Linked DNA regions of Cricetulus griseus. The protein of the gene in region 2 interacts with the protein of the main gene of each other region in a biochemical or structural test. Links are inferred from orthologs where the notes say so. Each region holds a gene or a part of one and is shown on either strand. Other genes may lie near its edges.

What was found.
Region 1: the proteins of Prkar2a (region 2) and Akap1 form a complex in vitro, tested with the Homo sapiens proteins (2 studies listed by BioGRID, with this or other methods). The link is inferred for Cricetulus griseus from reciprocal best matches to the Homo sapiens genes PRKAR2A and AKAP1.
Region 3: the proteins of Prkar2a (region 2) and Palm2akap2 form a complex in vitro, tested with the Homo sapiens proteins (2 studies listed by BioGRID, with this or other methods). The link is inferred for Cricetulus griseus from reciprocal best matches to the Homo sapiens genes PRKAR2A and PALM2AKAP2.
Region 4: the proteins of Prkar2a (region 2) and Akap13 form a complex in vitro, tested with the Homo sapiens proteins (3 studies listed by BioGRID, with this or other methods). The link is inferred for Cricetulus griseus from reciprocal best matches to the Homo sapiens genes PRKAR2A and AKAP13.
Region 5: the proteins of Prkar2a (region 2) and Cdk1 form a complex in vitro, tested with the Homo sapiens proteins (2 studies listed by BioGRID, with this or other methods). The link is inferred for Cricetulus griseus from reciprocal best matches to the Homo sapiens genes PRKAR2A and CDK1.

What each region holds. Positions count from the first base shown.
Region 1 is NC_048600.1:102,035,838-102,041,209, forward strand, and holds the start of Akap1 (A-kinase anchor protein 1, mitochondrial), read right to left. Parts: upstream 3,152-5,372; 5' UTR 3,001-3,151; intron 2,774-3,000; exon of another isoform or gene 2,691-2,773; intron 1-2,690.
Region 2 is NC_048597.1:216,918,998-216,922,757, forward strand, and holds part of Prkar2a (cAMP-dependent protein kinase type II-alpha regulatory subunit), read left to right. Parts: intron 1-543; coding exon 544-685; intron 686-1,759; coding exon 1,760-1,893; 3' UTR 1,894-3,760. UniProt on the Homo sapiens protein: Regulatory subunit of the cAMP-dependent protein kinases involved in cAMP signaling in cells. Type II regulatory chains mediate membrane association by binding to anchoring proteins, including the MAP2 kinase.
Region 3 is NC_048595.1:86,145,326-86,149,912, forward strand, and holds part of Palm2akap2 (A-kinase anchor protein 2), read right to left. Parts: intron 2,403-4,587; coding exon 1,710-2,402; intron 1-1,709. UniProt on the Homo sapiens protein: Binds to regulatory subunit (RII) of protein kinase A. May be involved in establishing polarity in signaling systems or in integrating PKA-RII isoforms with downstream effectors to capture, amplify and focus diffuse, trans-cellular signals carried by cAMP.
Region 4 is NC_048596.1:121,807,511-121,812,610, forward strand, and holds the start of Akap13 (A-kinase anchor protein 13), read right to left. Parts: upstream 3,455-5,100; 5' UTR 3,370-3,454; coding exon 3,334-3,369; intron 1-3,333. UniProt on the Homo sapiens protein: Scaffold protein that plays an important role in assembling signaling complexes downstream of several types of G protein-coupled receptors.
Region 5 is NW_023276806.1:268,274,810-268,279,840, reverse strand, and holds the start of Cdk1 (cyclin-dependent kinase 1), read right to left. Parts: upstream 3,139-5,031; 5' UTR 2,993-3,138; intron 570-2,992; 5' UTR 544-569; coding exon 507-543; intron 1-506. UniProt on the Homo sapiens protein: Plays a key role in the control of the eukaryotic cell cycle by modulating the centrosome cycle as well as mitotic onset; promotes G2-M transition via association with multiple interphase cyclins.

The DNA.
Region 1 (5,372 bases), on a different chromosome or scaffold from region 2:
GTTACATAGCAAGACCCCTGTCTCCAAAAACAAACAAACAAACAAAAAAAAAACCACTTAGGGCTAACGCTCAATGGTACAGTACTTAACATGCATAAGGGCCCTATATTCAATCCCAAATACTTGAGAAAGACGAAGAGACTGGCTACACCAGGAAGGAGAATCAAAACTTGCCCTATAAAGCAAGATTTAGGACTTAAATATGCCCCACTATAGAGATTAGCAACTTCCAAACATTATTATATATTTCAGAGGGGCAGGGGGCCCACAGAACCCAAGCACCTCCCTATAATAAAGTTCCTAGGATGACTATTCAAAGAAACAAATGCCAGACGCAAACTTCCCTCAAACAGGAAAAGACTGGGCTGCAGAGAGGCCCAGGCATGGCAGACTCACGGAAGACTAGGAAGGAGTGGCCATGGAAAACAGGGCAGCTCTCCAGGCACATGAGCTCCGATGCCTTAAAATGCCAGTTTCATCAAGACATGTTGACCCAGGAGGCTAGGTGGCAAAGCATGGAGAAATCAATTTGTCTCCTCTTTCCTTCGAAGCAAATTACTAGGTCAGAGGCTAGGGGAGGGAGTGCTTTTATACTTAAACAATCAAATGATTGAGTCAAACACAGGGATTCCTTGGGAGTGAAGGATACTATACTTAAGTGCCTGCCACATACCAAGACATAGTCCCAAGTCTCAAATTTATGATTTCCATCCATATTTAGGATGAGAAAGGGAAAATCGGAAGTTAAAACTACCTTCCTCCATAAACTATGGCTGTGACCAGCCTCTCGGCCAGGTCCAAGTATAATCTGGTTTACCGGTTAGCAAGACACTGCTTTAAAGTATTGATGCTCAGCAACCCGACACATTGCTCTCAGCATCTGATCAGGCAATGTACAACAGATACCCGTATCTAGGCTGTCGCCCTGCAGTGGCCAAGTGTGAATGCAATTTCTACAAACAGCTGGGAGATGGGAGAGCCACGCAGACACAAACCCACTAGACCTAGATCAGATCTCACCCACTGGGTTGGATAGCCACCTGCATATCCTACAGAACAAGGCCTACTGAGTTAGCAAAATGACTGAAGCTTTAGTGATTTGCATACCTGTAGGGTACGAGGGCCTCCTCTAACCCAAGGCCACTTTTTCATATTTCACAAGACTACACCCAGGAATTACCCAGAACCTACAAAACAGGTTAGAGGTGAAAAGAAGGTTCAACAAGTCCAAAAAGCTCCCCAAACATAACCTCACTTGTTCCTTGGGCTCTGAAAAAGTCCTAAATAATCTGCAGGTGAACCACTTAAATGCCAATAACAGAAGAATTTGATATGAGAACTCTTTCAGAGGTCTAGATGCTCTGTACCTTTAAGAGAGGAATGGGTAGGTGTAGCCCTAAGACTCTTTCTAAAGTTAAACGTTTAAAAGAAACAAAACAAAACAAAAAACCACGTGGTTACTAATTTGGGAAGGATTTTGCAGTTAAACGAGCATGGAAGGTTAATTTCCTAAAGCAACAGCTTTTTGTGAACTGTGTTCCTGGATGGCAATTGCAATACTCGAGTATAGAGGGAGGTGGCAAACAAACAGAGAGATGGTTACATCAGGTCCAGCAGCCCTAATTTCACTGCAGGAGTTAAATTTAAACCCCAAGCAGCCTCAACCTCAGTAGGGGAAAGATCGGCAGTTTAACCTCACTAATTGCCCTACACATACACCCTATCCTACTGGGTTTGAGAAGCCTCCATTCGCACCTGGAGCGAAGTCCACCGGGTTTGTGTTAACCACAGCCCAAGGATAGAAAGGTACCGATCGCCGGAGGCATTTCACTGGGGGAGAAAGGTCCCGTTATGTACAGGGCTTCTCAGAGGTCGCTTCTGCATAACCCAATACCATCTGCCTTTCCCTCCCAAGGAAAGGAAACAGGAAAAGCCATAACCTAGGGCACAGGGGTAGTTGACTCTGGAATGTCGCCCCTTATGCGTCTGGGGGGTCTCCCCAAGCACATTTTTACCTATGACCCCTGCAAAGTCCCTCCAGATCACCGACCCGGGACGAGAAGGAAAGTGGATCATAACACGTGACACTGGACTCCCCACAGGCCAGAAGTCAGCGGGCACCTCGAGCTAGAGGTCCTCCACCTCTCGGGACACGCTTATGGGGCCACAAACCCTAATCCCCTTGAAGATACCCAAGTTCTCGACCTCCCGATCCTAACTCGGTTCTTACGGTCCCTCCACGGCCAATAGGCTCGGGATCTGTCTCGCATCCCATCCTTCCCGCAGCGACGGCAGAGCTCGCTCCGATAGTTCCCTGCACTGAACTCCAGGAACCTTGCCTACCTGCTCGGGTTTGCCACCACCGCCGGGACAACCCAGAACGAAATCAACCGGGCCCAGAAGTTACAAGAGGCTCTGAAAATGACCAATTTCAACTCCGATCCCTCAGCCAGGAAAGAGATCGGTCCCCAAGGACCTCTTCTCCCGCCTTGGGTACCGAGTCCTTGGACAGAGACCGCCCCGCTGCCTCCTCTCCACGCTCAAACTGGGTACACACGACCTTTGAAAAGTAAACGCGACCGAGGCTGGTCGACCTTGGGTGGGACGCGCTCGGGTTCGCTACCCAGAAGGGCGAGCCAACACCGGGAAAGTTGAGGCGCACCGGGGCGCCGGAGGAATTGTGCCCTCACCTCCATCCTAGAGGCCAGTGACGTGCGGGGGATGGGAGGGGGGAAGCAGCGGCTCAGAGCAGCGCCCCAAGCTAAGCGCACACGCGATCTGTCAGCACCAGCTCGACCGAGAAGGAGGACCAGGGGGCGCGCGGGTCACTTGAGTCACAGACCCGCCCGCTTCACAGCGGGCGCCGTGCACACACCGCCCCGTCCCCGGAGCACCTGGCACGCGCGTCGCACCCTGCACCTGCACCCCGGGCTCCCCATCACCCCAACTCGCTCTCCCTCCGGGCCCGGCAGGCGGGTGCCCGCGCCAGCCGCTACTTACCTGCTCCGGGGCGACCGTCTAGGTACACAGTCCTCCCGCCACCGCCCCCTGACCCCCACCTAGCCCAGCGGCCCTGCCCTGCAGCGCCGAGCCGCGCTCCGGCCGCTCCCCCACGTGCTAGCCCAGGCCGGGCGAACACAGAGACATTAAATACTGAGGACGCGCAACGACGTGCCCGCGGCGCGACGCAAAGCCCCGCCCCTCGCCCTCGGGCTCCCACTCGCCCGCTCGCCCTGCTGCGCGTGCGCGACACCGGCCGCTCCCTCCCCGACTTGCGCGCGCCTCTCTCCCAGCTGCGCCAAGAGGGGCGCGGTCTGGAGAGCTCCGCTGACATCCCGGCGCCGTTCGGGCCCGCCCTGCGGGTGCTCTCGCGAGAGGAGTTGTAGTCACAGCGGCGTAGGAGTGGCCGTGCGGCCCACGCTCCGGCCGGGATGGATTCCCGTTGTCTGCGCGTCGGGCACAGGGAATTTGGCGCGCGTGGGGGCTCTGCGTCTTCCCATGTTCTTGCTTTCGGATGGTGTGTCCCTTGGAAAAGGCCGGAGAAGCTGGTGAGGGACAAGGCTCCCCTTGTCTCGGATTTTAGCTTTCCCGTAACCTTGCGAGTATAATAGGGGGCCATGAAAATTGCTCAGTTAATACGGATACTGTGTGGCACTCGAATACCAAATTGCTTTCCCATTTTCGCAAACCCAGTGATGTCGAAACGACTTCCCTCTAAATGGTTTGGGGTTTCAGAAACTTTGCCTTCGAAGAAGTGGGTCACCAAGAGTCACTGCCTCCCACAACAACTTTGGAAAATAAAATGCCTTCAGACATTCAGAGGAGTCCCTCTGGCCAGCTCTGCTCTGAACCTTAAAACCTAGGCGCTTTTTGTTTCTTGCTTATTTATTTTGATATTCTGAGACTTTCGTGTAACCTACACTGGCCTCAACCTCGAAAGGTAGCTGAGGCTGACCTTGAACTCCTGATCCTCCTGCCTCTACCTTTGTAATGTTGGCTTTACAAAGGCAACATGGTACTTTAAATGCAGTTTTTGAACAAAATATAGAAAAGATACCATACTAATAACTAGCCATTACTTGGTCCTAGACCGGCGGTGGTGCTCCCCTTTAATCCCAGGACTTGGCAGAGGCAGGTAAATCTCTGAATTCAAGGCCAGCCTGGTCTACAGAGTGAGTACTAAGACAGCCAAAGCTACACAGAGAAACCCTTTCTCAAAAAAAAAAAAAAAAAAGGCAACAACAACAAAACCAAAAAGAACTAACCATTACTTGGGAAAATCTTCACTGGTGATCAAGCGTGAATTTAAATTTTAAAAAGAGACTGTATGCTTACTGAGTGGAAAATATAATTTCATCTATCTACTGTCTAACTCATTTATTTCATGAGGCAGCACTTGGGAGGCTGAGGCAGGAGGATTGCCACAATTTCAAGGCACCCTGGGCTACAGAGTTGAGTTCCTATCTCAAACCCCCCACAATTGTTTTTAAAGAGTTTATGTGTATGAGTGTTTGCCTGCATACATGTACATACATCATGTGAGTGCCTGATGCTTGTGAAGGACCCAAGAGGACATTGGATCCTCTGGAACTGGAGTTACAAACCAGTTTAGAGCCTCCATGTGGAGCCTGGGAACCAAACTCTGATCCTCTGCAAGATTTGGTAGTGCTCTTAACCACTGAGCCATCTCTCCACCCCGCCCCCCCAAATTTACAGAACCATACCTGTTCTGTAAATAGTGGATTAGTAACTGACCATGGCAGAAGGGACTGGTCAAGAAGCTGAGGTAATTGATCCATTTGAGACTAGATGCTGGCCTAAGGTAAGGACCCAGCACTCAGTGACTCTGGGGTTGTTAGAAGTAGAGGGACAAGACTCACTCACGTTGTTATGGTTAAGGTCTCTCTGGCTTTAGTTAATGCTGGCAGGCAAGCATTTGGTTTATTTGGGACCCATTAACTTTATACTGCTTTTGCAAATAGCAGCTGAGTTGGATATGCAAGTCTGGAGTTAAAAAGAGAATGGGTAGGAAATACAAATATGCAAGGTTATGTAAAGAGGGAACACACACACACTTATACACATATTTGAGGATGTTTTGGTTTTGCTTTGCTTTAGATAGGTTCTTACTAGGTAACTCAGACTGGCTCAAACTTGTGGTTCTTTCATGTTAGTTAGTCTCCCTAGTGCTATGATTACAGCTGTACACCACCATACATGGCTTAAAGTGGGGGATATTTTAAAAAAGAGAAGCAAAAAAGCAAGAAAAGAGGAAAAAAAATTAAAGCTAGGGGGCTGGAGAGATAATCTTAAAGGTAAAAGTGGTAAAAGTGCTTGCTATACAGGTTTGAAGACCTGAGTTTGGAACCCCA
Region 2 (3,760 bases):
AGGATAAGCTCCAAAGCTACACAGAGAAACCCTGTCTCAAAAAAAAAAAAAAAAAAAAAAAAAAGAATGGAGGTGCAGCACTAGTGTAAGCGCACATAGTGCTTTAAAAGAAATATCACTGTGAAGAACAACACGAGATAGTCTTGATCCACCACATAGCCTTGAGCTTGGGCTCATCACTAAAAGAAGAGTTCATTATTAGGAAGAATTAGCAGCAGACCTTGTGTTCAAACTGTGCTCCAGTCACATCTCCCAGAAGTTGTAATCTCCACTGAAAATGCTGGAATTGACTGGCTCATGCTTAGCCATTATCTGAAATGTGTTAGGGCTTAGGTGGAGCTCCAAGTAAAACAGCTCTTCAGCTGTACCAGGCCCCAGAGATCTGTCTGTTGATTTACAGGATAATATAGTTAAGAGTTTCTACAAAGCAAATTCCTCAGTAACTTTGTTGAACTTTGTGAGTAATGAATTTGACGTGTGTAACTGGACATGCCCAGCTGTGATCTTAGAATCAGCCCGAATCTTATTCTTTGCCTGTTGTAGACTAAAACGAACAAGGATGGTGGGAGCCAGGAGGTTGAGATTGCCCATTGCCATAAGGGACAGTACTTCGGAGAGCTTGCACTGGTCACCAACAAACCCAGAGCTGCTTCTGCCTATGCAGTTGGAGAAGTCAAATGCTTAGGTAAGAAAAGTTCTTTGTGAGGTGCTAACAAGCCCCCCCCCCAACCTTAGACTGTTAATAGTTGCTGGGGGAGAGAGAGATTGTCTTCATAGGGTAGCCACTGATAAATTGCCCATGACACAATCCTAATTAAACTTTCTTCCCTCTCCCCCACAAAAACGACATGAAATTAGAAGAATCGGAAGGGAACTAACTGGCTGGGAAGAAGAGAGGATAGATGGGAGTGGGACAAGATGGGGTGGAGTGAATATGATAAAAATTACATACATGGCCAGGCAGTGGTGGCACACGCCTTTAATCCCAGCACTTGGAAGGCAGAGGCAGGTGGATCTCTGAGTTCGAGGCCAGCCTGGTCTACAGAGCAAGTTCCAGGATAGGCTCCAAAGCTATATAGAGAAACCCAGTCTCGAAAAACAAAACAAAACAAAAAAATACACACACACACACACACACACACACACATATGAAGATGCCCTAATAACAACCATTATTGTATATTATATGTGCTAATAAAAACTTTAAAATGAAAAAGGAAATTCTTTGTACATTACTAATTTTTTTCTAATGTACAGGTTTTTTGTTTTGTTTTCTGTTAGCAAGCCTTGATTTATTCAGTCAAACTCATTCAGATCTAGGTCTGGGTACTTGTATAAATGAATTCTTAGAGCAAAGCTGTTTTTGGTGGGGGAGGTGTTGGGCATTGAACTTAGAACCTTGAACATTCTGAGCACATGCTGTACCTCTAAGCTTTCCCCAGCACCCTAGCGGTCGGTTCTGAGCAGTGAGCAACCCTGAGTAAGACAGGTGTACAGCGCCACAGCTGTGCAGAAGCAGCAGTGATGTGGGCAGGTTGCCAGGTCTGTGGAGGGACAAGACAGGCAGGTGCTGCTGTGCCCACATCCGTCTTCAGCGTTCGTACAGAGCATCCCTTCCCCAGTGTCCTGAAATGTCATCTCCTGGAGCATGAGGAAGTGGAGTAGGGAAAGGGTGGCATGCAGGAGATTGCTTCAACTGTTAACATAAACAAACCCTTCTCTCCCGAACTCTTTTTTTTTTCTTTTTTAAACAATGCAGTTATGGATGTTCAAGCATTTGAGAGGCTTCTGGGACCGTGCATGGACATCATGAAGAGGAATATCACACACTACGAAGAGCAGCTGGTGAAGATGTTTGGCTCCAACTTAGATCTGTTGGACCCTGGGCAGTAGATGTGATGATTCTCAGAGCCTTCTCAGTGTGACACCAAAACCTTCCAGTCAGCCACAGAACACACACAGAAAACAGACACGACAGAACCGTTCCTGCTGTTGTCACCGCCGCTGCCATTGCTGTGGTTAAGGGCATTTAGAAATCTTGAGAGTCAGCACTGAAAGATGGACAGAGGCTCCGCCCCCACCTCCACTTTGCTTCTGAAAGCCCATCATTAGACCACTTATGTAACAATTTACTTCAACCCAGTTTTCACATCTTTGGTTCAGAATGGCATGTCTCTCCAGCAATTTAAGTGCCTGATACAAAGTCCAAAGTGTAAACATCTTTTCCTCTCTTGCTGCTAATGATGCTTCTGAAAGTTACCCTAAGGTCTACAGAAACCTGTTGAATAACTGTAGACCCCTCCACAGTCCTTGTCAAGGGAGGAGATGGTACAGCCTTCAGTCTCCTCGTTTGTCTTTTGAGAAAGTTCACAGTGTGTTCACAGTTGCTGCCTTCACTTTCCCAGTGCAAGATGGCAGCAGTTATAATGGAGGTCTGTGCTCTAGTGGTCCTGTCCTATTTGCTGGCAGCTGCACAACATAGCTGTGTCCAAGCCCATAGTGACACTCAGAAAAGGGTCTATTGAAGGCCCAGCAGGCCCATACAGAGCAGATTGATTACTTAGATTCACGTTAGCAAGACACTTGGACTCAGCACTCCTGCCAGGAGCAAAGAGCCAGGAAAGATTATCTGGGTTAGCGTTCTTGTTGTTTGTTCTTAGCAAGTTTTGTTTAACCTCGGTGTAGTTTGCATAAAGAAATTGCTGCCATTTTCTAAGGAGCCAGGAGTTAGCTCAGCTGGTTAGAGCATGGTGCTGATACAAGGAGCCAGGATCTGGAGGTGTCGTCGCTTCATCTGACCTTTAGTTCCCTGAGCAACCCTGGCCATGTCTTGTTAGCAGTTGGTCCACTGGCTGATGGCTGTGGGCTGAAGGGGCTGTGCTACACAGAGAGTCCTTTTCCTTCATCTTCCAACATTGTTGCCTAGCTTGGCTAGGAATCATCCATTTTGAAACTCTTACAAAGAAGCTAATTTTTTTTAAGGAAATTATTTCTCTATTTAAAGGAATTCACTTTGGTCATATTCCATACACACATGGGGTTTGTGAGCTGACTCAGACATTTGTGCTAAGTATCTGTTTTCAAAACTTGGTATCATTGGGGAAGGGGGTGGGTGTGGCTCAGTGGCAAAGCACTTATGTAGCATGTGCAAAGCCTTGGGTTTGATCTCCAGCACTATAATAACCACAGAAAGAAAGGTTACCATTTATAAACTTACTGTGAAGGCCTTTCTAACTGTCTCTCAGCTTTTGCCGTGGTCACTTGTAGTTAAGAGATGTCCAGACTAGATCAGTCACCACCATTTTAGTAATTACTTTTTCTTGTGTTCCATGAAATAAAGCAGGACTCTTCAGACTGCCCTAAGTAGCCTATGTTACAGCTTTGGGAATTGTATGGTCATAACTACTACTCCAAAGCAGGCAGCTAGCACTGGAAAACCTTTGTGGTGATCCCAAATTTTCCTAAGGTCATTTTCTATGGTATTGCTTTATTAAATAAATCAGACCTTGCACTTTGACCGAATAATACCTGGTTCTTGCAAAGGTAAGAGGTGCACTGGACTCCAGGAGCAGCCCAAAATTCCAGCTCCCAAACCTTAGAAGGACTCTGAACCCCCACCCCAGCCTCCATGCCAGCATGGATTGTGGCTGGCTGTGAATCTTATGCTGGAGTTATTCCTGCAGGCTGCTAAGGGTGGGCTTTCTCAGCCTGCCCACACATCCCAGTCTAATCTTCAGAGTCCCCCTGTCCCCTTTCCTGC
Region 3 (4,587 bases), on a different chromosome or scaffold from region 2:
TGGTATTGATTTGTGATGATATTTTGAATGTCAGGGTAAACAAAGTTATCTTTCATCAAAATCAGTTAACACATCACCACTTCATTTTATTCCTGTATTAGGGCTCTTTTTCTAAATTCCTTCCCTTTGGTTTCACTAATCATGTGGATGTCCAGGTTGGGGCCATTCTAACAATGTATTTCAAGGGTTGTTCATCATGTTTTAGGTTAAAAAAATTCCTCAATATTCTAGAATTCCCAGAAATTGAAGAAAGGAAGCCTTAAGAAGCCCAGGGAATGTGACAATCAGACCATGTGGAAATATTTATGATCTTTCTTTGTCTTTCAATGCTTTTCACATTGAAAAACCTTTGTCTGTCTATTTGATTTTTGTTGAGATGTGGTATCTCTGTGTAGCCCTGGCTATCCTGGAACTCACTCTGTAGAACAGGCTGGCCTTGAACTCACAGAGATCCACCTCATGTACCACCACTGCCCAATTTTTTTTTTTTTAAGAGTGGAGAAAACTATACATTGAGGTTACCCAAAACATCCTCTTACCCATGGGAATATGAAAACAAAATAAAAAGTAAAAAAAAGAAAAAAGCACAGATGTGAGACTAATCAGCTGGGCATGGGAAATGGACAGCTAATGCTTACAGCACCATCCTGGATTCAGTAGGGGTGTAATGACAGCCCCTATAGGTCAGAAAGACTGTTTTAAGAAATATGGTCACTGCAGAGAGACTTCTCAAAATGATCCACTTTTTGAAAATAGCTGAATTCAATCAGAAGATACCCATGAGAAAGAAAACAATATAAAAATTTACATTTTGGGAGAGCTTGGAAACAAGGCTTATGGGTTGGCGAGCACTACAGATGCTGAAAACAATGGTGGCCTGAGGTCCTTAGAAAGTCCTGTAGAAAGGGTTCATTGGGTAAGCCATAGAAAGAGAAAGCTGCTGACTGGCAGGTGATAGATGCGTCAGTCCCTACACTTTAGCTGGGCCAGGCGCTGGGTTCTTTGCTTTCCAGTCAACTTCGTATCCGTTTTAACAGAAGGAAAGTACAATACTGTAATTTGGAAGCGTATGTAAGGCAGCAAAGAAAACGTGTCACCCTAGAACAGCCAGGTTAAGATAGGTCCACTTTCGACTATGCTAGCAACCGGCTAGAGCTCACAGCATTTTGCTACACAAGATATATATAAAAAAAAAAACAAAGACCCACACAGCAAAAGAGGCAGGCGAGAAGCCAGGGGCATGGCAGTGTGTATGTTCTGTGTATGCGTGTCTATGTTAGAGGAACACACGCCAAAATGAAAACCCCCGGTGCCAACAACGGGTGTGAGTCCAGTCAAGTCAATTAAGGCTACTAGATAACCAGTTGCTATGAAGAGTCCACTCCAATCGAGCAGTACGGCACTGATTCACTCTTGAAGACACAAGGAAAGGTTTAGAGGAAAAAGTAAGTTCTTGGGGAGAAAAAAAAATGAAGCACACACATGCACGTTGTTTCCCAAGTGAGAAGGAAAGATGTGAGTGAGAGATCAAAGCAAATCCAACTGCGAGGCAAGGCAGGTGTTTGCTTCCAGTTCACAGTATCGCTGTTAGTGGTACAGTGAGGTCTATTTAAGAGGTGGAGAGTAGAGAGGCTGCCCGGAAGAAAGGGGAGGAGAAAGAAGTGGTCACATGACAACACAGCATTGACAGCGCTTTTTCTTTTGGGTACCTGGGGCCGGTTCTGTGGCCAGGCTCTCTTCCTTGCCTTCTGGGGATGAGGGTTCTGTGGTGTCTGACACGGGTCTCCCGGACACCAGCTCAGCTGCATTTCCATCGATCGTGGACACGTCCGTCACTGTCTTCTCTCTTAGCGACTTCTCATCGTCTTCATCGATTAGGACTAGTTCGGCCTTGATGGTTTCGTCATAGCCTAGCACCTTTTTAGTCTCCTCTTCATCTTCAATGTTTTGGTAGCCCATAAAAATCATGGTGACGGGTTGATCCAGGTTTGCCTCTGGCCCTTCCGTGCTGGAGGGCTGGGCCTGCTGCCCGGGGTTTCCCGAAGCGTGATCTTTCCTAGATTTTTGTACCATTTCTAACTTGGCTTCTTTGCAGAGCATGTGTTCCTTGGGATGGCCCAGGCTCCCATCTGCAACAACAGTCCTTTCAGACATGTGTCCCCTGAAGCTCGATTGTCCAGCCTTCTGAATTAGTTCTTCCACATCCTTTGCGCTTAATTTGTGGACTCCGTTTTCTACCACAGTGCCTCCTGAGTGCACCTCATACACTACTTTGGTACCATCATCATAGACTTTGACTCCTCTCTGATGGACCCCCTCTGGGCCAATGGTGGATGCAGAGAGAATCTTGGTCTCTCCTGTCTGTTTGTCTTTCTCCACATTAATTTCCATGGCGTATATAGCTTGAATGAAAACAAGAGAAAGGAAGTGCATGTTACAACAAAAAAAAGCCAGTGAATGGTTAATTGCCAAACAGACAGAAAAAAAAGTGGTCTGTGCCCTTTCTATTGTAACCATCAAGCATCCTGAGTGTTAGCATGTAGTGGGCAGTGTGGACAGAGGCGGTTGCGTGTGTTCTTCACACAGCAGCTTAATGCACTGGGAAGACAGATGCAAATAGTCACCACATCTTAATGGACCCAGACTTTTTAAGAGACCAGCTAAAATAAGAGACTTCGGATCTAACAGGGCAGAGTGATGGGAAGGCCAGAAACATGCAAGTGATCTTGACTGAGATCTGCCTAGGCTTATAGACAATGTCAAAGAGGCGCCTACCTTCCAGAAACTTAGTCATTTTTTCCAACTCTTTCATCAAATATGTGCCTATTTTTTTCCTCTACATTTTCTTGGGCCTGTTAATGGAGAAGGTGCCAAGTGTTTTGCAGGCAGGACGTAGCTGTCCTCCCCTACACTACAATTAGTTATTCTGCAGACACTGAAAGAATAGGAAAGCATACTCTGAGAGTAACCCAGTCATTGTCTGACCTCCAGCTGAAGCATAAAGTTACTGTATGACAACCCCAGGACAAACCCTTTGTAGGGAAGAAAGCATCTTTCAAATGCCTCAGCGACCACAGCAGCATATGGAATTCATATAGTCATTATAAAGGATTATTTTCATATCACATGTGAGGGAGAACAGCTGTGTCACTAAGCAAAAACAGAACCAGTGAGAGGACAGGTGGTCATGACATCTGTAACATAGGAACAGAGGATGGTGCCCTCAAAGGCCCTCTGTCCTCTCTCTCTCTCTCTCCCTCTGTTTTTCAACACAGGTTTTCTCTGTGTAACTCCGGTTGTCCTGGAACTCACTCTGTAGACCAGGCTGGCCTCAAACTACCTGCCTCTGCCCCCCTGAGTGCTGGGATTAAAGGCTCTCTCCACCAGCATTCTGTCCTCTCTTTTCCGAATAGTGTTAAGGCTCATGATTCTGTCCCATTGTATTTTCCCTCCCGTTGTCTTGTTTTTTGCTGTTCTGCTCCATGTTGTGATGGATGCTCACGGCCACGATACTCTTCTTTCCTTTTGCCTAGGCTAAGAAGAGTGTCACCCAAGGCACCAGACTCTCCAACCATCTCACATCCTGATGCTTATGTACCAGCTCTCCCCTGTCCTATAGCCTCTTGGGACACCCAACATTTGTGTCCATTCCCTCAGAGGCTCCCTGTGAAACACACGTTGTGGATGGAATGGGGTAGCAGGCCCACAGAGCCACCTGGCTGCAGGCACCCTTTACCTAGATGGTACCCAGATACGCTGGGCTCAGCAGCTTCAAAACCATTACAGCCTCTTCTCTCAACTCGTCCCTCATCTTGGTATGGTGACACTAGTACTACAGTTTCGATGCTTAGTCTGTAAGCCAGAAGCCTTGAATCATGTCTGATTCATCCCTTCTTTCTACTCTCCCACATCCAGTCACTGAGGGGATCTGCTTCAGGTTTTCCCATCCATCCCCTCATCATTATCTCTTTCCACAAGCCTCAGTCCAGACCCACTCAAGTCCCGAGGACTACACATATAGACGGGGCCAAAGGCAGGCCGGGGCCTGTTTTCTTTCATATGGCCAGGAGGAAGAATGGTTTCCTATACTTTTAAAAAGGTTGTATAAAAAGAAGGAAGTCATTTGGGAGATGGAGACAAGAGAATTTGGGATTCAAGGTCACTCTCCAATACACAGTGAGTTTGAGGCCAGCATGGGCTATCTGAGAACCTGTCTCAAAAAGAAAAAAGGAAAGAAGGAATGAAGGAGACAGAAGAAAGAGGAAAGAAAAGAGGAAGGGAAGAGAGGGATAGGAGGGGAAAGGAAGGGAATGGAGAGAGGAGAAAGTAAGAAGGAAAATGAGAAGAAAGAGATGGAGGGAAAGAAGGGGGAGTAGAAAGAGACAAAGGGAGGGTAGGAGAGAGAGAGGAAAGACAGGGGATTGCTAACATAGACTATGTGGTTTACAGAGTCTGAAATCTTTAGGAGCAGGCTGTGTATTGGCGAAGTCTGCTGAGCCTGTAGCCATGCTCCGCTTGCCTGAGTTACACTTCTCAGACACCTGTTCTTGTCTGTGGGTTAAGCACCAGCTCCCTGGCTTAGCTACA
Region 4 (5,100 bases), on a different chromosome or scaffold from region 2:
TGTACCTAGTCAAAAACTTGTTCCTAGCCAAAAATAACCAGAAACACATGAAGAATTAATTCCTGATGGAGTAGGAGAGACTCAGGCAAACCGCAAACAGAAGCTATGGCATAACAAAAGAAAAAGAAAAGGAAATAAATAAAGCAGCTACAGAATAGAAAGGTTTATTAAAGAAAGTAAAGCAGCATGAATCTTTAAAAGGGGAAGGAAGACACAAGTAGGAACTGAGAAGACAGGCAAAAGATAAATTCAAGGATGTGAACGGATGTATACAAAGTCTTAAAGTTAACAAAATGACACAGTCTTGGAGTAATATGCCATGGCTTGAGCATCAGGAATACATAAGCCAGGACCAGAGTTCCTGGCCCAATGAACACTAGACAAAAGAAAGCCATGGAAAGGCTATATCACCTGCCCCATGCACTTCTACACATGGGTGGTAAAGGTCACATATGCTCATCATGAACACTAATGACCATTATCCTTCAAATGTGTATGTGGGTGAGTGAGAGCTTTCCCACTCTACCTCTTAGCTGTCTTGCTCTGCTTGCTTTCTCCTGTGACACCTAATATGACATATAACACATATACAGTATATTGATGTACAGGATTCTGAGACCAAATAATTATCTGAGTAAAAGGCATACTTGTTTTATTCAATGCTGTATCTGTGCCTATAAGTGTGTTGAGTTGTTGTAAGTGCTCAATAATGTATGCTGGATAAATGAATTCTTAACTCCATTCTGCAAACAATCTTCCTCCACAGTGCATCTTATGTGAGATAACTGTATGAGAAATCAAAAGATCTAAAATGTAATGCTCTGAGAATGAAAGACTTCAGCTCAAGTCCATAAAATGACAGTTAAAAAGAAGCAAGGCTCAAAAACACCCCTGATAAGAAACTACAACAGGATCACTCATCTATAGTACCCACTCTATTAAAAGAAAAATACTCAGACATAGTCCAAAAGCAAGCAAAGCCCTTAACTTTCCTTAACAACATAAACAGGAATCAACGGAGGAATTTGCTGATTTTCATACCAACTAGGGTTGATTTCACTGGTAGAAAATCATACAATTTTCTTTGACGTATCTCTTTTGACAGATAATGACAATGCCCAATTAAATCCACTCATCAATCTTCTTTTAACATGTTCATGAATATTTCAGTTAAAGGTATCCCACTCTTCAATGTTAACAGAAGTCAGTTTAAACAATACTACTGTCTTCCAAGACAGAAGCAAATGCATAGATTTGTAGGCTTCACATCTTTGTTCTACTGAGACAAAACCAGCAGATGGCGCCCAATAAATCTGTTTCTTTCTCTGTGAAAGAGCTATTTCTTCCCCCAAACATAAGAATTTTGAGATTTAAGATGAAATGGAAACAAAATACAAATGCTTGGAAAACATTTAATGTATGTAAGTCATATAGTAAGAGGTGTCTCTTAAGAGAATGGAATTCTTAAAGTTCTTCCAAGTTCTTTCTGTTGCTGTATGCGGCTCACTTCTCGGTCTGTTGCTGTTAAATGAGTACTGCTAAACTATTTGGAGGGTGCTGGACTCAGATTTTCTGGTGGGCTTTTTTTTTTTTTTTTTTTTTTTTTTTTTAAGCAACTTCTCCATCTCTCAGGACTTTTTCATAACCATATGGAACTGCTCAAATAATTAAGTCAACATTCAGACATTCTTCCTTCTGAAACAGGATCAGATATTTGCTTAAAATGCAGGAAACATCATTGGGTTGTTTGTTTTTTAAATTATTTTCATTTGGAATTTCAAGGAAAGAGCTGAAAGCTACCAGCCTTTCTTAACTCTTGACCCCTCTCTGTCTTCCCCGCCCTGGGACCAGGATACTTAAGCACTCTTGTCACTCACTCTGACGCTGACTGAAAAGAGTTGACTGGCTTGGCTGCTGTACTCACCCAGCTCTCAGCTACCTAATAGCATCCTAGGTTATTTATTGTCTTTGATTGTCTTGCTTCACCTCCAAAGTCATCAATGAAGCTAGTTCAGCAAGCTTCTAAGCTACCCCCTCCCACACACTAGAAAGCACAGAAGTTTCCAAAAATCTGGTCAGGTGGTTAACAATGTAAGAACAGCAATGAATTGCTAACTTCCTGGGGGTGATGGGAGACCAGATTTGAGTTCTAACTCTACTCCTTGCTAGCTTCACGGTCCACCAAGTGACACAGGTGTTCTGACACTGTCTCTTCTTTAAGGAGAGCAGTCATCTCATGAAGTTATTAGGATTACACAAAAAAATAAAGAAGCACAGCACACCATGTAAGTACTTGCAGATGCTAAATAATCAGAGGTGCATATGATTACTACTGCAATACAATATTCTTCTCGGCCACTCCCTCCTGCATGCTCACATGCAAATACACAAATACATTACAACTGGAAAAAAAAAATCAGCATTCCCAACTCTATACTAAGCAGAAAAACTATGGTGGAGCCTCAGTGTATCATGTCTTCAAACATCCTTTCTCTTCTAACCAAGAAGTAAAAACATTTTTAATTCTGAGTAATATGCAGACAATGTATAAATCATACCCTTACATGTGGGAAGAATAATAAATGTCACTGAGAACTGGAAAGCAGGCTTCATGCAGAAAAGATAAGTAACTGCAGAGCTAACGTCTTAGGATCTGCTGCCTGGATTCACTTCATACAACAAGAATGAACTAGACAATGTCAGCAAAACCTCAAAGTAGAATTTTGGAATGCCAGAGGTACCTCATAATTCTACCTTCATTAAGAGTAGGTTAAGTTCATTCCTGATCTCCAAACAAATGCAAGATAACAACAAAACAAAGGTAGGAAATGAGCCCACAACCAGATTGGAGGATCCCATGAACCAAAAAAGGAATGTACCGTAAGATAAAACTCACATTTCCTTCTGTGGACAAAACAAAAAGAGACAGCTGAGAATTCCACCCCAGCTGCCAGATGCTCTGTATATCACATGGGGTCAGCAGTTAATCCAAACAGAGTTTTGTGGAGGGCTCCAAGGATATACAAGAGCCAACAGCTTTTTCTTGGTTTAAAAAGGAGAAACAGAGCCAGGGAGATGGGTCAGCAAGTAAGGGTGTTTTCTCCCAAGCCTGCAGACCTGAGCTGGATCCCACCAGCCCACATATTAAGGGAGAGAACTGACCCTACAAGTTGCCTCTGACCTCCATGGACATGCTGTGGCACTTACGTCCCTATATACACAAATTAAACAGATGAATGAATGAATGAATGAATGAATACATAAATAAATAATTTTTAAGAGCAAGGACAAGGAAACTAAAGAGCTGGCTTAACAGAGGTTAAGACCACTCACTGTTCTTACAGAGGACTTGAGTGTAGCTCCTAGCATCCATGCTGGACACTTGGGTGGCTCACATCTGCCTGTAACTCAAGGTCTAAGGAAGCTGATGCCCTCTTCTGGCTTTTTCAGATACCTGTATTCAATTGACATATAGTCAAACAAACACATTGATAAAAACTTTAATTAAAAAACAGAATATTAATAGTCTCATCTCAAGTGACAAAGCAAGTCTCAAAGAAGCAATGAAAAACTTGAATCTTCAATCAAAGACTGGTAACTTTAAAATATAAATCTTAGCCCAATTTCTCCTTCCATAAAATAAGAAAACTCCTAATTCATTGCTTTGTCAGAGAAGTAGAACAAGATTACTAAGAAAGCACACACAGAAAGTTCCAAGTAAATAACAGAGATACAGGACAGAAGTTTAGCTAAAGCGCCAGTTAAGCACTGTCAGTCCCGAGTTCTCACTAAGGACCCCACCAAAGAGATCAAAACAAAATAACACTCTGTCACTTGCTCCAGATCACAAAGTTCTCCTGTGCAGTTTCATATCTTAACTGATCTTCCTTTTGAGGACATAAATCCTAACCTTTTCTTCAGATGATCAATTATTTATTCACACATGGGGCAAAGCTCTTTCCTGAGGATGACTTGGAATTCTACTTGAGAACATTTAACCAAAACTACCATGCCTATTCGAAAGGCACTGAGATATAGAAGCACAAGTAAAACTGAAGAAGGCAATAGAAACAAATTTCAAGTGCTGCCCTCAACTCTTAAGGAATGTGCAACCGAGTAAATGGGGAAAACACATCCACAAAAATGCATCTAAAGTGTTAGAAGTGTTAAGTGGTCTGTGAAGCACAGTGGAGACACAAGAGAGGCATGATGGGTTCCACAGCAGGGCAAAGGGTAAGGCAGGGTACCATACAAACAAATGCCAGAAACAAATCCTGAAAGCTAAACGGTTCAGTGGTGGTGGTTGTGTGTTGTGGGGGGGGGGGTGGTATTTCAAAGCAAGTAACAATATATTTGGAACTCATTTATTACGGAGCATTCCACCAACCCAGCATAGCACCACCCATAGCTAGGGATCTTTAAACTGCCAATTGTTGAAGTCAAAAGACTGCTGTAGTTTCGATAGGCAGTCCTCGGGCAAATTCAAAAAACCTGTGGGATCTTATCAGTTCTATTTGCATCATGACCTATACTGCTTCCACTACAAAGCAGATGTGGCCTTAATTATCCATGTCCACACAAAGAACCTGTGAAAATTCAAAATGACATAGAAAGTACTGTGAAACATAGTATGAAGTATTACTAGCTCTAGTAACAGAGTGATCCTCTGAAAATCACCATTTACTGGTAACATAACTGCTGCTACATTCAATAATACAAATCTTAACAGGGGCTTCAAAATTTATTAACAATGTACCCAGAAAGCTGGGCTTACAGAGAAGCTAAGTACTTGTCCTTTTGAAATAGCAACCTACATGACAATTTCCTGTTTCTCTTTGATGAGTTGCTATATCATCAATGTTGGAAGACATAAATCTACCCAAACTGTTCCATTTTAATTCACCAACGGCTTTTAAAACTGTTTTGTCTGTTTGGTTCAACTTTAGTGGGCACCAGGATTACAGAATTCTGGTTTTTAGGCTCCAAGCCCAGCATTCTACATGTTGGGAGTGGGGTGTTCTAAAGCTATCCTTTCTGAGGCTCCCATCAGTTCTGCCAGCATCTCCTCCTGCTGTCAATCTGAGCTTTACTATGAGTACA
Region 5 (5,031 bases), on a different chromosome or scaffold from region 2:
TTCAGGACCAGAAGTGAGATGAGCTCAGAAGTTTGTGAGGCCCTATGGTTATCAGCAAAGAATCAGGGATAATTTAAATTCTCTTGAACAAGAGTTACAAGTGAACCACTGTTCCTGTGATAAACCCAGGCAAAAGCAACCTACGGAAGGGTTTATTTGGACTAAGAATCTGGGTCATAGTGCAGCAGGAGCACAAGGCAGCTGAGGGTGAGACTTACTATGGCTGGGATCCCTCTCTCCACTTACAGTCCAGGATCTCAGCCAGGGAATTGTGCCCACAATGAGAGAAGGGTCCTGCCTACTTCAATTAATATACTCAAGATAATGCCCTACAGGAGTGCTGGGGTGATTCCAAACTCTGTCAAAGTGACCACTAACACCAACTATAACAGTACGCTAATGCACATAAGTACAAATACATCAAGGATCACACTCAATAAACGTTTTTGTGTTACGCAGTAACATTGTTGAATTATTTTTAAAAACTTTATACTAAAACTACTCACCTTCTCCAATTTTCTCTATTTTGATATAGTCTTCCATAGTTACTCAACAGGTTACGACAGACCCTAAAACAAAGGGAAACAGTGGTGTGATTACATGCTACTAATTCATCGGTAAGATATGGGAAAAAGAGTGTCTTCCACAGTCCCTTCCAAATAGCCCATAAATAAGTTCTTATTTCAAACGGTATTACCACGGTTTAACTACTCTTGCAGCAGCTTTCTGAGCCTTCTCAGCTCCCAAACATTGCATTTGCATATTCTATACAGCATAGTACTTAGTTTCTTCGAATTTCACAAATAAAGCACACCTCATTAGGGAAGGCCTGTCATCCCAGCTACTGAGGAGGCTGATACAGAGAGATTAAAAGTTCAAGGCTAGAACAACTTAGAGACACTATGTCTCAAAATAAAAAATGCATAAGGTTTTGGGTTTGATTCCTAGGACTGAAAGTTAAAAAAAAAAAAAAAGAATATAGCAATTTTAATGCCAGTACATGCTCATTCTCCCCAACCATTTCAAGACACATTGCTACTGTACTAAATTTGTACTGTTTTAATTTTCTGAAAATCTTAAGAATTTATGAGAAGGAAGTCACACATGATGTAATCCTAGCACAAGGGAAGATGAATCAGAAGACCAAGTTCAAGGCCACCCTGTGGCCTAGTTAACTGCAACACTGTCTCAAAAGCAAATGAAGGAAGTGCCACCTTAAAGTACAACTATTAGAAATAACATTTATTATAAAAACATTTATTTTAAAAGCATCCAATTCACTTGAGCAGCAGGAATGTTCAGCCACTCAAGTGAATGCCTTCAAAAAAGCAGCCACAGACATTTCCACTCAAGACACTTAAAGGGAAATGCCAATAAGTATGGTAGAGCAGTGTTAAGTTACTGGGTCGACTAGCTTTATGTCAACATGACACCAGCTAAAGTCAACTGGGAAGAGGAAACCTCAATTTAAAAAATGCTTCTATAAGATGGGGGCTGCAGGCAAGATTATAGAACATTTTCTAAATGACTGACTGATGGGGAAGGCCCAAACCATTGTGGATGGTGCCATCCCTGGGCATCCCAAGGTCCTAGATTCTATAAGAAAGCAGGCTGAGCAAGCCACGAGAAAATAGCTTGCCATTAGCACTCGTCCATGGTCTCTACATCAGTCCCGGCCTCCAGGTTCCTGCCCTATTTGAATTCCTGTCCTGACTTCGAGGGACGAGGAGCTGTCATGGGGAAAGCAAAGCCAAGTAAACCCTCTCTTCCCCAAGTTGCTTTGGTCATGTCAATGGTGTTTCATCACGGCAATAACTATAAGACCGTGCCATTTGCATAAAATTCTAATCACACTTGCAAAGTGTCATGAACTAAAGAAAAAAATCCTTGCCTCACACAGAATGGTGGGGGAAAAAAGCTAAGCACCTTTTGCCGTGCACGCCCTTTGCCACGGATTAGATCTCTACCAAGATCACGGAATAGCTGACATTTCTTGACAGATTCCTTTCCAAAGTAAAATGAACCCCCCCCCCCCCGTGAAGTGTGGTGACACAGCCTGGAATCCCAGCTCTCACGACTACACACACAGTCAGTGGCTCCATTTTTATGAAATTACAATGGACATCAAGAAAAACCCTTCTTCTCCAATAGGCATACGTAATGTAACCATAATGCATTAAAACTTTTCAGCCCCCTTTGTACACACAGCTAAGAGCTAAGGCGTCTTCAAAGACAGGCCCATTCCCCTCCAACATTTTCCAGTCTCCTGGGGCTGGTGCTATTGATGGCCCAGAGCGTCTGTCCCTCCAGCCCAGATCTCCCAAGTTTTGGGGGATGGTGATGCGCACGCCAGAAACTTCAGTAGTAGCTTTTTTTTTTAAGACGACAGATGTTAAATCATCAGTGTTTCTACCTCTTAGCCTTTCTTAGCCTGGATACTGTCTGCGGCTGTCTCCAAGCACAGACAACTGAAAATAAGGAACGATCCTACGTTCTTCTTGGCTCCGGACCTTCACACTCGTGCTTTTTAAAACGACCACGGATCGGTTTCTCCCGCAGCACCCACTGAGGAGGGCCTCCGGGGGCAGCTGGCGCGGCGCAGCCTAGCTCTTGCACACGCAAGCCCACAGGGCCTAGGACACAGCCAGGCACCCCGCCCACACCCGGGGCTCCAGGGAGGCCCTGCGGGGCTGCAGGAACCCGGGACTCGGCTGAGGCCCTGCACGTCGCAGGGACTCCGAGCTCAGGGGAGGCGCTGCCCCTCCACGAAGGACCCCGGGCTCAGGTGAGGCCCTGCCCGTCCCCACGGGGCCCCCGGGCTCAGGTGAGGCCCTACCCGTCCACGGGAGACCATGCCCTCACGTGGAGGCCCTACCCGTCCACAAGGGGAGCCTGGGTTCACACGGATGCCCTGCCCGTCCACAGAAGGGACCCCGGGCTCGCGTGGAGGCCCCGCAGGCCCTGCCCGCACCCGGCCCGCCTCACGCCATACCTCTCTCGTTCCCGCGGCGGACACAGCGCAGTTCCGGACTGCGCGGAGGCAGCGACTCCCGGAGCTCAGAGGCCGAGTGCCAGCAGTTTCAAACTCACCGCGATAAAGCGCCCGGGATCCACCAATCAGGTTACCCGTAGACGTTCAAAGGAGCCAATCATAGCCCAGATACGGTGGGGCGGGGCTTCCTGGCAGCCCAGAGCGCGAAAGGGAGCGGAAACCGCGGCTGGAGGAAAAGCAGGAGGGCGGGCGCCAACTGACTGAGCTTCCTGACTCTGAGTGTCGTCCTCCTGTTTCTAGATAGTCTGATGATCTAATTCTCTCTCTCTCTCTCTCTCTCTCTCTCTCTCTCTCTTTCTCTCTCTCTCTCTCTCTTCTCTCTCTCTCTCTCTCTCTCTCTCTCTCTCTCTCTCTCTGACAATCTGCTGCTTAAGTCTGCTTTGTTATGTCAGCTCAGAAGTCAATTTTTATGTACCTTTGTGTTTTGCTTTTAAAGTATAACTGTTTGAGAAACATTTTCTTAAAAACTATATGAAAGAAATAGTCCCTATATAAAATAGAACTTGCCAGGCATGGTGGCACACACCTTTAACCCCAGCACTTGGGAGGCAGAGGCAGGTGGATCTCTAAACTCAAGGCCAGCCTGGTCTACAGAGTGAGTTCCTGGACATCCAGGACTACACAGAGAAACAAAAACAAAAAACAAATGAAAAACAAAAACACAAACAAAAGAATGGGGTCTTCTGGGCTGAGATGTAGTTTGGTGGTGGGATGCTTGCTTATCATGCACAAGGCCTTGTGTTCTAGTCCTGCATCCCACTCCCTCCAAAAGCAGAGCTCAGATAAACACATGTGCATGGGAAGAAGCCTCTGAAAAGAGAGACTGTGAACTCTGTGAATTCAAGGCCAGCCTGGTTTACAGAGCCAAGGTAGCCAGAGCTACACAGAGAAACTACGTTTAAAATAGATAAATAGATAGATGATAGCTAGATTAGGAACTTGAAATATAATTATTTACCTGTAGCATATACATACCTCCCAACTATTTAAATCATCTCCAGTTTGCTTATGATACATAACACAATGCAAATACCATGAAAACGGTTGTGCTCAATTGCTTAGGGAAGGATGACAGGAAAAATGACTTCCAATAATTTGGATCTGTGGCTGTTTGCCACCAGATGCTTTCAGTGATTTTATTTTGTTTTGGTTTTGTGGATGATCGTTATTTGTTTGTTTGAGACATCATTTTATATAGCAGTTACCATGTAGGCCCAAACTGGCTTGGTATTCACAGTAATCCCCTGTCTCAATTTCCCAAGTGTTAGGATCGTAGGCAAGTGCCATTAAGCACTTGATTCTAGATTTTGGACCCCAAGAATATGAGGAAGCTGATGCCACAGAATTGGCATACTGTTGTAGTTAGTTTATGTTTAGTTTGATGGTTTCGTTTGTTTATTTGTCAAACTGATACAAGTTAAGTTCCTCCCTGAAGGGAGAACCGCAATTGAGAAAATGCCTCCATCAGATTAGCCTGTAGGCAAGGATGCACTGGGTCTCAGGGCAAACCAGGACTCATAGCATCTTGTGGTACTAAGCTGTGGTGCTAGGGGGCAAAGTTTACTAAATGCATATTTTTTTTTTTTACTTAAAATATTTTAAATTTGTGATCAGTGTTGTCTTAGAGTTCCTATTGTTGTGATGAAAACAACGTGACCAAACAACTTGGGGAAGGAAAGTCTTTATTCCACTTATACTTCCATAGCACTGTCCATCATGGAAGGAAGTCAGGACAGGAACTCAAGCAGGTCAGGAATCTGAAGGCAGGAGCTGATGCAGAGGCCATGAAGGAGTGCTGCTTTACTGGCCTGCTCATCATGGCTTGCTCAGCCGCTTTCTCATAGAAAGCACCAGCCCAGGGATGACACTACCCACCATGGGCTGGGCCCTCCTCCATCTATCACTAATTAAGAAAATGCCTTGAAGCTGGATCTTATGGAAGCATTTTCTCAATTGAGTCTCCTTCCTTTCACATGATT